Schizosaccharomyces pombe: one gene and its partners. Changing the gene in region 3 together with the main gene of any one other region gives a genetic interaction. Each region holds a gene or a part of one and is shown on either strand. Other genes may lie near its edges.

What was found.
Region 1: mutations in dim1 (region 3) and mca1 together harm fitness more than expected from each alone (negative genetic interaction), as found in Schizosaccharomyces pombe (one large-scale study listed by BioGRID).
Region 2: mutations in dim1 (region 3) and mok11 together harm fitness more than expected from each alone (negative genetic interaction), as found in Schizosaccharomyces pombe (one large-scale study listed by BioGRID).

What each region holds. Positions count from the first base shown.
Region 1 is NC_003424.3:2,987,138-2,990,897, reverse strand, and holds the start of mca1 (transcription factor), read left to right. Parts: upstream 1-2,044; 5' UTR 2,045-2,468; coding exon 2,469-3,760. Other genes in the region: U2 snRNP-associated RNA-binding protein Sap49, read right to left, coding at 438-1,333, 1,391-1,502.
Region 2 is NC_003424.3:4,372,389-4,376,148, reverse strand, and holds the start of mok11 (cell wall alpha-1,3-glucan synthase Mok11), read right to left. Parts: upstream 1,787-3,760; 5' UTR 1,773-1,786; coding exon of another isoform or gene 1,458-1,772; 5' UTR 1,417-1,457; coding exon of another isoform or gene 1,162-1,416; 5' UTR 651-1,161; coding exon 1-650. Other genes in the region: aah2 (alpha-amylase 2), read left to right, coding at 1,162-1,416, 1,458-1,772, 1,891-2,778, 2,823-3,110; SPOM_SPAC23D3.13C (guanyl-nucleotide exchange factor), read left to right, coding at 3,437-3,517, 3,559-3,625, 3,678-3,760.
Region 3 is NC_003421.2:877,144-880,300, reverse strand, and holds dim1 (U4/U6 x U5 tri-snRNP complex subunit Dim1), read left to right. Parts: upstream 1-1,629; 5' UTR 1,630-1,666; coding exon 1,667-1,701; intron 1,702-1,712; exon of another isoform or gene 1,713-1,751; coding exon 1,752-1,777; exon of another isoform or gene 1,778-1,858; coding exon 1,859-1,899; exon of another isoform or gene 1,900-1,982; coding exon 1,983-2,093; exon of another isoform or gene 2,094-2,146; coding exon 2,147-2,362; 3' UTR 2,363-2,497; downstream 2,498-3,157. Other genes in the region: gpi10 (pig-B family GPI synthesis protein), read left to right, coding at 1-654; sorting nexin Snx12, read right to left, coding at 2,661-3,157. UniProt on the Schizosaccharomyces pombe protein: Plays a fundamental role as a protein essential for entry into mitosis (G2/M progression) as well as for chromosome segregation during mitosis. May play a role in mitotic spindle formation and/or function.

The DNA of each region.
Region 1 (3,760 bases), on a different chromosome or scaffold from region 3:
TATATGGTTGTTGACACAAGTCTTCGTGTACTTGATTTATTTAGTTTTACGGGATAACGAGTCAAAAATAATACTTCACTAATATTGGTCAAGAGATTAGCAGCTTATATTTAATATAATGCTTAGACTATACTTTCGTTTGGATTGTATACATAATTCAATGTATCTGAAAATATGTTGGATTGAATTAATGCGTCGTTTATAGACTATATTGCCGATATTTAGGGACGAAGTAAAACTCATTACTAGAAAAAGTCAAACTGTAAAATATAAACAAACATCAATTTTAATTTCTTTTAAATAAGATAAATCTCAGCTTCCACTTTTTTTACTGTACACGTTAAAAAAAAAATCAACCATACGGATCAATCTCAGCTATTTTACTATGCCGGCGTTTGAGCAACAATGGTAGTTATTTTGCTTCTTTTTAAAATATTTTACCTCCTTTGTTGTTGACTGTATCCATTTTGTGCATTGATTGTTTGATAAAATGGTATGTTTGGCATTACAGGAGCACCAGGTATGGTAGCAGCAGCAGGAGAAGGAGAAGCCATCACCATTCCTGGTGGTGGAGGGGGGACAAGTGGTGCACCTCCAGGGCCCATTGGAACATTCATCATTGGCATAGCAGGCATTCCAGGGAAATGCTGTGCAGCAGTGAAAGGAAGAACATTAGGTATTGACAAGGGAGGGACGGCAGTAGTTGCTCCCACTAGAGGAACATTCGGTACAGGAGGTATCGATGTAGCAGCAATTGTTGCTGGAGTATTAGCAGCAGATGTTGGAGCAGGAGTGGCGGGTGAAAATCCTGGAGGCAGAGTACTCTGAGGAGTAACGGCAACTTTATTCTTTTTAGCGGCTGCTGCTAGCTTTCTTTCCGCAATATCTCCGTGACGTTCACCCTTTCCTTCGCGTTTAAAGGCGTATGACACGGTAATTGGTTTATTCATTAAAAACTGATTATTCATGGCCTCAATGGCTGCATCAGCGGTTTCAAAAGAATCGTAGCTAACAAAACCATAACCTTTCGACCTTCCATTCTCGTCTCTTGCTACCTGAGGTGCCTTGACAAGTTGTCCCAAAGCAGAAAATGTATCGTACAATACGCGTTCATCAACAAGAGGATCCAAGTTGCCAACAAATAAATTTGCACCAATTAAGGTATTGACTCCTCTGTCCTGGCTAGCTCTATTGACCCTTATAGGCTTTCCAAACAACTTTACTTGATTCAGAATTTGACATGCATACTCAACATCTTGTTCGTGTAAGAATTCGCAGAAACCAAAGCCATTATGACTATTCCTTACTCTATCTCTTGGAATATGAATATTTACTGTATGAATTAGTATCGAAAGCCACAAATACAACCAACACTCGAATAATTACATACCAACTGGACCTGCCTGCAGGCATAACTCAAACAAAATAGAATCCGTTACTTTTTCATCAAGATTGCCAAGATATATAGTTGCATCCTGATTCCTGTCTTCTCGAATACTCATTAATAAATAAGTAAAAATAAGTTAAAGTGTCTATTATAGAAATTTATTAGAATAAATAGATAGACACGTTTGAAGACGCTGGTAGAAGATTCAAGAAATTGGTGCATAGTCTCGTTATTGACTTAATGACGAGCACCAAATAGCACAATAGAAAACTAAATTACAGTATTCATCGTTAAAATTTCAGTGTCCAGCGTTTTCCAAACACATTTATGGAGATTTTTAATACTAAATCTTCGTTTTTTTTTTATTATTTTATAATTTTACTCATGAGATTGAATTATATTCAAGTTGAAGGTACAGTTGTGAATGGTAGACTGACGAAATATTTTTTATAGCAACCTATCTCTTTATACAGCCCTAATTTCCTTACATCCATCGTACACTAGTACATTTAATAGGTTCATTTATTAACTTTTTGTAAAAACGATGTTTGGCCATGTATATTTATTTTTGCTGCTGTAGTTTTGAACACAACTGAGGGCTTATTTATGTTACCCTAGATGGGCTTTTTACTCCCATGTGGTCTTTGTAACCTTCTTATGATCTTCACCCTTCAGGTGATACCACGACTTCAGTTGAATTTTATAGCTTTTCGAGTGTGTTTTTAATCAAAATATTTCTGTGATGTTGGTGTTTTGAAAAAGCGTACTTGTGTAGTCCTAGATGCCCCTTTTTTCTTTCACTTAAGTCTATTATTGTTTATGTTTAATTTTCTACTTGCAAACTTTTCGAAAGGACTGTTCGTAGCCTTTACGTTTATTGCTTATTTATTTTTTCTGATTTAAGCTCGTGAGCTTTTTCTAACAGACGTACGATCAGACAATTGGCACGTCTGCTTTTCTTTTCTTTTCTTTTTTAAGACCTGTCTACTCAACGCAGGATTTCTTCGATTATCTAGGTTTTTAAACGGTTTAAAAGGACACAGAATATTTTATTACTTCATTTTAGTATTTTATTTTCGACATGATTGCTGCTGTCGAAAAAGATGCTGTGCCTCGAAAAAGGCGAGTAATCAGTCAAGTATCTCAGGCATGCATTCGGTGTAGGCAGAAAAAAATAAAGTGTTCTGGTGAAAAGCCATCATGTCAAGCTTGCAGTAACAACAAAGTTGAATGCATTTGGCCTGATCGACCGAATATGCGAGGCAAAAAGCCATCTTCCGCTGCCAGAACCTTGAGTCCTCTTACTGGTATAGTGCAACCGTATCTGGGCTCTCATCCTTTTTCTCCTACGATCCTCTCTCCATCATCTCCTAACATGGATTTTACTTACTCTATTAATAGCTTTGGTGACTATCAGAAGCAGTTAAGGCTACCAACCAGTAGAAAGTTATTACAGCTTTGGGACATATTTCTTAAAACTTCATATACCGAACTTTTTGGGATATTTAATAAGGCCCAAATTACGTCTCAAATTGCAAGTGATACTGCTCCGCCAGTCCTCGTACTTTGTATATGTGCTCACGCTGCTCGTTTCAGTCAAGAGGAAGTCAATAGATTTAAATCTTCAACTGCAGCATCTGATTACTACGCAAACCAAGCCTTTTCACTGCTTCCTTGTCGTTTCCAGGATATTTCACTGACTAATATCACTTGCCTGCTCTTGCTTTGCTTAATTGAGTTGGGCTCTTGTAGAGGCGCTAAAGCCTGGCTTTTACTGGGTATGGCTCTCCGTATGGTCGATTCTTTAGATCTTGGTAACGAAATAAATGATAATCCTCTTACGATGGGATCCAACACTGTTTCATGGACTGAAGCCGAGCAGAAAAGAAGGGTTTATTGGGCTTGTTTTTTTGTCGAACGTTTGCTAAGTACAGGTTACATGGCACCTTCAAAATTGCGCTCACTTTCTTTATCTCTTCAAAAGACTAGTATACAATTACCTTGTCCGGAACCTAATTTTTTATTTAATCAGCCAATTCTTACTGAGTTATTTGATGGATCTTTACCGGAAAACACTCAGTCAGACACCACTTCAATGGCCCCATACCAAAGAAGTTTACAACTGGAGTTTATGACGGGTTCCCTAATCCGCTTGTCAAATTTGTGGAGTGAGATCTCAAGATGGGCTCTATGTGGTGGATACACGAAAGATATCACACCCCCTTGGCTAAATCAGTCTCAATTCCATCGTAGCTTTGAGCTTTTAAAAGCCTGGCATGAAAATTTACCTCCAAGAGCAGTTTGGTCATACACTAACTATTCGGCGTATAGTTCTCCCGGAGAATCGGCTGGTGCCTGTTACACTTTTATGCA
Region 2 (3,760 bases), on a different chromosome or scaffold from region 3:
GTGAAATTCCAATCAGCATACCGATCTTCTCCTTTCCAAAGAGCGTTATGCTCAATAAAAGTAAACGGAGTAGTAGTGTTTGTGAAACCCTCGAAACCTATCAGATCGGCTAATGTAGCAACGGTGAGATCCACAATTACATACATGCCTTTACTATGCATTTCTTCGATTGTTCCTCTCCAGTCGTTAATCGTCCCTAAATGAGGATCAAGTAACGTGAAATCAAGAGGAGAATACTGATCAGCTCCCCAAGGCATATTAACAAAAGGTGTCCCAGCAAAGTAAACAGCTTTAACACCCATACCTTGCAAATAGTCTAAAGATTGACGCACACCAATTATATCTCCACCGTTTCTAAATTCTGTCTCATAAATGTCGTATTCAAATCTTGTTCCACTAAAATCATTATTGGTTGGATCTCCATCGACCCATTTGTCAATAGCAATAGTATAAATGGGAAATCTCCAATGTTCTGGGCTAGGAAAAAATTCATGATTCTCCCATTCACCCCAATAATCCGATGGATCAAGAGCAGAAACGTTAGTGTTCAAATTCCAATCAGTAAGGAGATTATTGAAAGGAGCGCACCAAGCATGTTTGTCAAGTATAACAATATACAAAAAGAAAGAAACAACAAGAGGGTACGCCATATCCCTAAGTGTAAAAATCTAGTTAAATAGTTGAAAAAGTAAAAAGATTTTAACAAATTTGATAGGAGCACAAAAGATAGAAGGTAAAGTCTTCAGACTTAAACTAGTGATTAAAGGGAAAAAACGATCACTCTAGTATTTAAAATGAAGTTTCTTTTATAGAATTTTAATAGATAATCTTTGAAAAAGAAAAAAAATACTGGTTCTTCAGTTATTTATCTTATACTGATTTCAGTATGTCCATGTGTTGCGCAAAACAAAATGTTGAATATGAATATAATCAAACTATATTGTTTGTTTACTAAAACAACAGTAGTGATGTGTGCGCAATTTAAAGTAGCAAATAGCTAATTGTTTGATAACAATCGTTGTTGACTATGCGCAAATAAAAAGTAAACACGTATTTGTTTACATGCATTCACACAAACTCCTCTGAAATTTAAGAAGCAAAATTGTTACAAACAACACCATAATTCAATCAGAAACCAAAAGGTAAAAAAATTGATTAATAATGAATTACCGTAGAAATATATGTCTCAGAATTGGTTGGATGCTGCTTTTTGCATTTATTCCAGCATATGCAGGACATTCTGCTGAAGAGTGGAAACGCAGATCAATTTATCAAATAATCACCGACAGATTTTCTTTAGAAGAAGGTGCAACAGAGAGAATTCCATGCGATCCCGTTCGATTTATGTACTGCGGGGGAACTTGGAATGGAATTCGAAATCATCTAGATTACATCCAAGGCATGGGATTTGACGCAGTATGTATTTTTACCCAAATACTTGATTAACATAATGATAGATATGGATCTCACCAATCTTTGAAAATGTTGAAGGAAATGATATTGACGGTTCGTCCTATCACGGATATTGGACAACCAACCTCTATGAGCTTAATCACCACTTTGGAACAAAGGAAGAATTTATGGAGCTAATACAAGAATTGCATAAACGCGACATATGGATTTTACTAGACGTGGCTATCAATTCTATGGCGATAAACGGACCGCTGGAACAAATGAGCTTTGAAAAAGTTATACCCTTCAATGATGCTTCTTTCTTTCATCCTCACTGCTGGGTTGATTATGAAAGCAACGACATTGAAAGTGTTCAAAATGTATGCCAAATTATACAGACTAAACGATTTTTCCTACAACCTAGACTTAGCCTGTACAGGTCGTTAAGTCTCGTTATATTGTTTTTTAGAACGACAGTGAACTAACTATATGATATAGTGCTGGCTTGGTGATGAGAATTTACTGTTGGCTGATGTTGATACAGAAAACGAAGTAGTTTTGAGCGTTTTAGAGAAATGGATAAAAAACGTTGTGCAAGAATATGATATCGATGGTATCAGGTTTGATGCAATTAAGCATGCGCCGATAGAATTCTGGTTACGAATGTCGAAAGCAGCGGATATATTTACAATCGGCGAATATTTCACTGGTTCGCCAGCAGAAGCCTGTGATTACCAAAATTCTGGTTTAGACTCTTTCCTCAATTTCCCTCTTTACTGGCCAATTACTTGGGCATTCAACAACACTGGTCTTCAATGCGAGGCTTTAGCAATCGCAATTAACCAAATAAACGAAGAGTGCAATGATATCAATGTGTTGGGAACGTTTATTGGAAATCATGACTTACCAAGAATAAGCCACAATAACACCGACCAAGCAAGAATTATGAATGCAATTACATTTGTGATGATGTGGGACGGTATACCCATTATTTACTATGGTACCGAACAAAATTTCAACAGTTACCATGATCCGTTTAATAGAGAAGCTCTTTGGCTATCAAATTTTGATATGGAGAATGTATACTATAAGCTTATTGGTATCCTAAATCGGTTCAGGAAGTCCGTTCAACGTCAGGAAGAGAATTATGTGAACACTAGATCTACTATCCTAAGCGTCAAAATTCACCACATAGTTGTTCAAAAGTTGAATGTTATTACCGTTTTGAACAACTATGGAATTCATAACGAAGAGCGTCTATCAATCGTTTTCAAACCGCTTGGCGCATCTCCTAAGGACACGTTTTTTGATATCATTAACAACCAAAAATATGTTGTGAACACTGACGGCACGCTTAAAGTTGTCATCACTAACGGATTTCCCATTGTAAGTTATTTCATTGTCTAAAAGACTACTAACGTTCATTAAAGGTTTTATATCCTACCAGCAAAATCGAAACTTCATTACCCCAGTTTACAGCGACTCTTCTTCCAGAAATAACATTTGTTCCAAGTATTACAGTTACTACTCATTATGTTTTGCCTACCTTGTTAGCTCCATTGGGATACGATATACGTGAACATCCTGGAGGTCAACAATTTTGGAATACGTTAACTGCTAAATCAGAGGCTAAAACCATTCGATCCTTCACCAAATTGAAATTATTCATTCTGCTAATTGCTGTTCCATTTGCTTTACCCATGATTATTCTCATTTAATACTGTTCAAGTTTTTTATCATTCTCCCCACCTCTTTAAAAAACCTTTCATCAAGCGCCTAATTAAACGAGCGCTTTATTTTATCTGGTTTATACTATTGTTTATTTTGCTCTCATAAAATAAACTAGATGTTATATAATATAGTGTTTATACAATTCGTAATACCAATCTTGCGTTACTCTGTTAAGCTCCTTATAGCAATCCAGTGAACATCGCAAATTAATACCTCAACAGCCCTCATTGAGTGTGGTATATACTCCGTTTCCAAATCCCTTGAATTACATGCATGAAAAGGGGTTTAGATTCTTTAATTAAAGCAGACACTCATGAGTTTATATGATAGTCTTCTTTCAAATTTGCAGTCAATTAATGTGGACACTAGGAAAAAGAATGCAGACTTGAAGAAGGTAAATGTGAGCGTATCAACTTTTTAGTCTAACAACTTTAGCTTGCAGATGGTTCTTTAAAGTTTTTGTACACAAACAAGAATTTGTCTCAAGATTCTTTAGTTTCCAGTAAGTTCTGCTATTTATTTACAATAAGAGCTACATACTAATCATTTCACAGAATTGAAAGGAAATGAGGCTTTTTATAAGCCATTTTTATTTTGCTGTGCAAAAAAAATTGAACGACACATTTACATATCTCTT
Region 3 (3,157 bases):
CTCCCATTAATATGCGGAGGATTTCTTCCATTCGTATTACTCACAATGGACCTTCAAACAGCGGGAACCATTCTTTGTGTTTTCTTTCCCTATTCACTGATAGGACATAAAGAACTTCGGTTTGTATACCCAATTTCACCGATTTTACTTACTTTAGCTGGAAAATTTTTTTCATCATTTTCCTCTTGGAAGCGTGCAGCACGGTTTTTCTTCCTTATTGGATTGGGACATGCTCTGGTAATTACATTTTTATGCCGATTTCATCAATTTGGAGTCATGGAAGTTATGCCATTAATACATTCACTTGCTGAAAAAAACCAAACTGGTCTAATACTTGCTCCGTGTCACACTACACCATGGCAGTCGCATATCCATTCACCTTTTGCTGAAAATGGATGGAAGTTCTTGACATGTGAACCGTTCGAAAAGCCCTTTGATGAGACGGATCGTTTTTACGAGAATATGCCTACTTTTCTAGATAAAATTAAAGAATGGCCGGATTATCTGATTTTCTTTGAAGAGCGGTTTTATAGCTTATACAGCTATCTTGACTCCCGAGGGTTGAAGTATGAAGAAGTACAGAGGTATTATAACTCCTTGATTCCTGAAAGTCGAGAGAGAGCTGGAGCTCTGTTAGTGTATAAGAAACTCTAATTACATGATTCTTCATACCCCAAAAATTTCACAGGTCAGCATAATTATCTGCATTTTAACAACTATTGATGTATTTTAAATGAAACCACTGATGACTATTACTTGCTTTGGACAATATTTGGTTTATCCCTAAAACGCCAGCTTGATTTCTAGCTCCCCATTATAAACGATTTGCATTTCTATTATGGTTCGTGGATTATAGAGGGGGCCATATCAAGTCTTCACAGAGCAAGAGGAAGCAACAATTTGTAGACGAATAAAGTAATCCTAAGCCATTTACTATTAAAACTTAAGACATGGGTGGAACACTTATCTTCCCCGAAGCCATTATCATGAATCAACATCATTTTAAAATTTTCAACCTTTGGCGACTTTAACCTTTCAGAAATTTTCTTAAATACAAATTTATAGCATATCCTGCACTCTCCAAACAAATCTGAAAAAGAAAAGTTAGCTTACAACGCGAACACCCAAGTCACTTAAAGAATTTGCAATTGTAATTTTATGCTATGGAGTCGAGAAAAACGCAAAGGTCATTCGTCTATGTTGCGATTGGGACTTGAAAAAATAATTTTATACGGCCTAGCTACGATTCTAAATTAAATTTTTTATAATAGTATTTCACAAAATATTTGGAATATTACGGATACTTTAATTTTTAAACACAGTAAACTGCTTAAACGGTCGGTTTCTAGAATTGTAAAAAATTCTGAATTTCATTGTTTTATTAGATGAAGTATGAATATATATAATTGTAGTAAACACATCAACGATTCAACTAAGCATGTAATGTACGAAAGTAATAGCAATCCCACTTGTGTCAAGAATCTCATAACTTCACTAAATTTATTTACTGAATAGCATTTACACTATTATACGCTTTTTTACGTAGAGTTAAAGCATTGCTACATCCTAACGCGCAAAGTGTATATTGTGTGACTTACATATCTACACTATTCTCGTCTGCTAGAAATTACCAAAATATTGCAATTCAGCAGCTTCAGTTGATATAATGAGTTATTTTTTACCTCATTTACATTCTGGATGGTAAGTTTTTGTGATAGATGGATTTATTCTTCTCTAACTTATGTTTATAGGCACGTTGATCAAGCAATTTTATCAGGTACGCGAACTTTAAGAAACGTAGAATGTTTCTCGTTTCACAACTTCGAATCAGCTTATTAACCTTTTTTTTTATAAATAGAACAAGAGCGCTTGGTTGTCATTCGATTTGGTAGAGATCATGTATGTTCTAATGTCGATATCTACTTGGATTAAGTCTATTTAATATTGTAGGCGGATTAATTTACTAACGCGTAACGGAATAGGATGAAGAATGTATAAAACAAGATGAAGTCCTATACAGAATTGCTGAAAAGGTCGTCAACATGGCTGTCATATATTTAGTGGACATTGACGAAGTTCCTGACTTCAACAAGGTAAGTCTAAGTCTTAGTTGGAAAGTCATGTTGCTAACCTTATTACCATCTAGATGTACGAGCTTTATGACAGAACTACAATAATGTTTTTTTATCGAAACAAACACATGATGATTGACTTAGGTACTGGTAACAATAACAAAATCAACTGGCCGTTAGAAGATAAACAAGAGATGATCGATATTATAGAAACTATTTTTCGTGGTGCTAGAAAAGGTAAAGGTCTTGTTATTTCTCCAAAAGATTACTCTACCCGACATCGCTACTAGAAGCCACCATTTGCTTATGCAAGAAAATGGAGAGGGGATAGAAAAATCATAGTAATTTGATAGTTTTTGGCTAAAATGAAAAAGTCTTTTTGCTTTAATTTTTACGCATAATTTGTACTTCAAATGGTATAACCCTTCTTTTAAAGTCAGTAACAATACAGGATTTGAAATTATCTAGTGGATGAATTGTAATAAAGTATTATCAAATCCTATGAAGAAATTACATTATATGATTAAAGAAAAGCATGAACATGATTACTCTTGCTATGATTTAACAAGAGAGGTAAAAAAGTGACACTCAAGTTGCCTTATTAGTTGATCTAGCGTGTTTCTTTAAAGCCAGCAAAATCTCGTCAAGAAGGGTGTATATAACATGAGCGTTTAGAGATTGGTTTTGGAGAATACGAAATATTCTTTTCACAGCAATATCAGGTGTATAGCCGGGAAACATGGAAGCAAGCAAAATCCCTGCTTCTGCTTTCAATTGATTCCTATCAGCATAAGCTGGCTTTCGCGCCCGTGAATGACGGCGGTCTTTGGAGTGATCATGATTAGATTTACCTTCAAGTCCTCGTCTAAACTCGCGTAACTTCCTATAAATCTTCTCAGGCGTAAACAACTGAAACAGTTGTAGTCGTATACGCTTTTCCAAAGCTCCGCCAAAAAGTTGTTCCAATATCGATATATAAGTTTTTTTCGGTAACCATTGCTGCTTTGCATCGTCATTTGGAGAAAACAATTCGACTAAAAATTCCGAGATGGGACCTGAGAATGACGAGTTAGTGTTAACGTTGG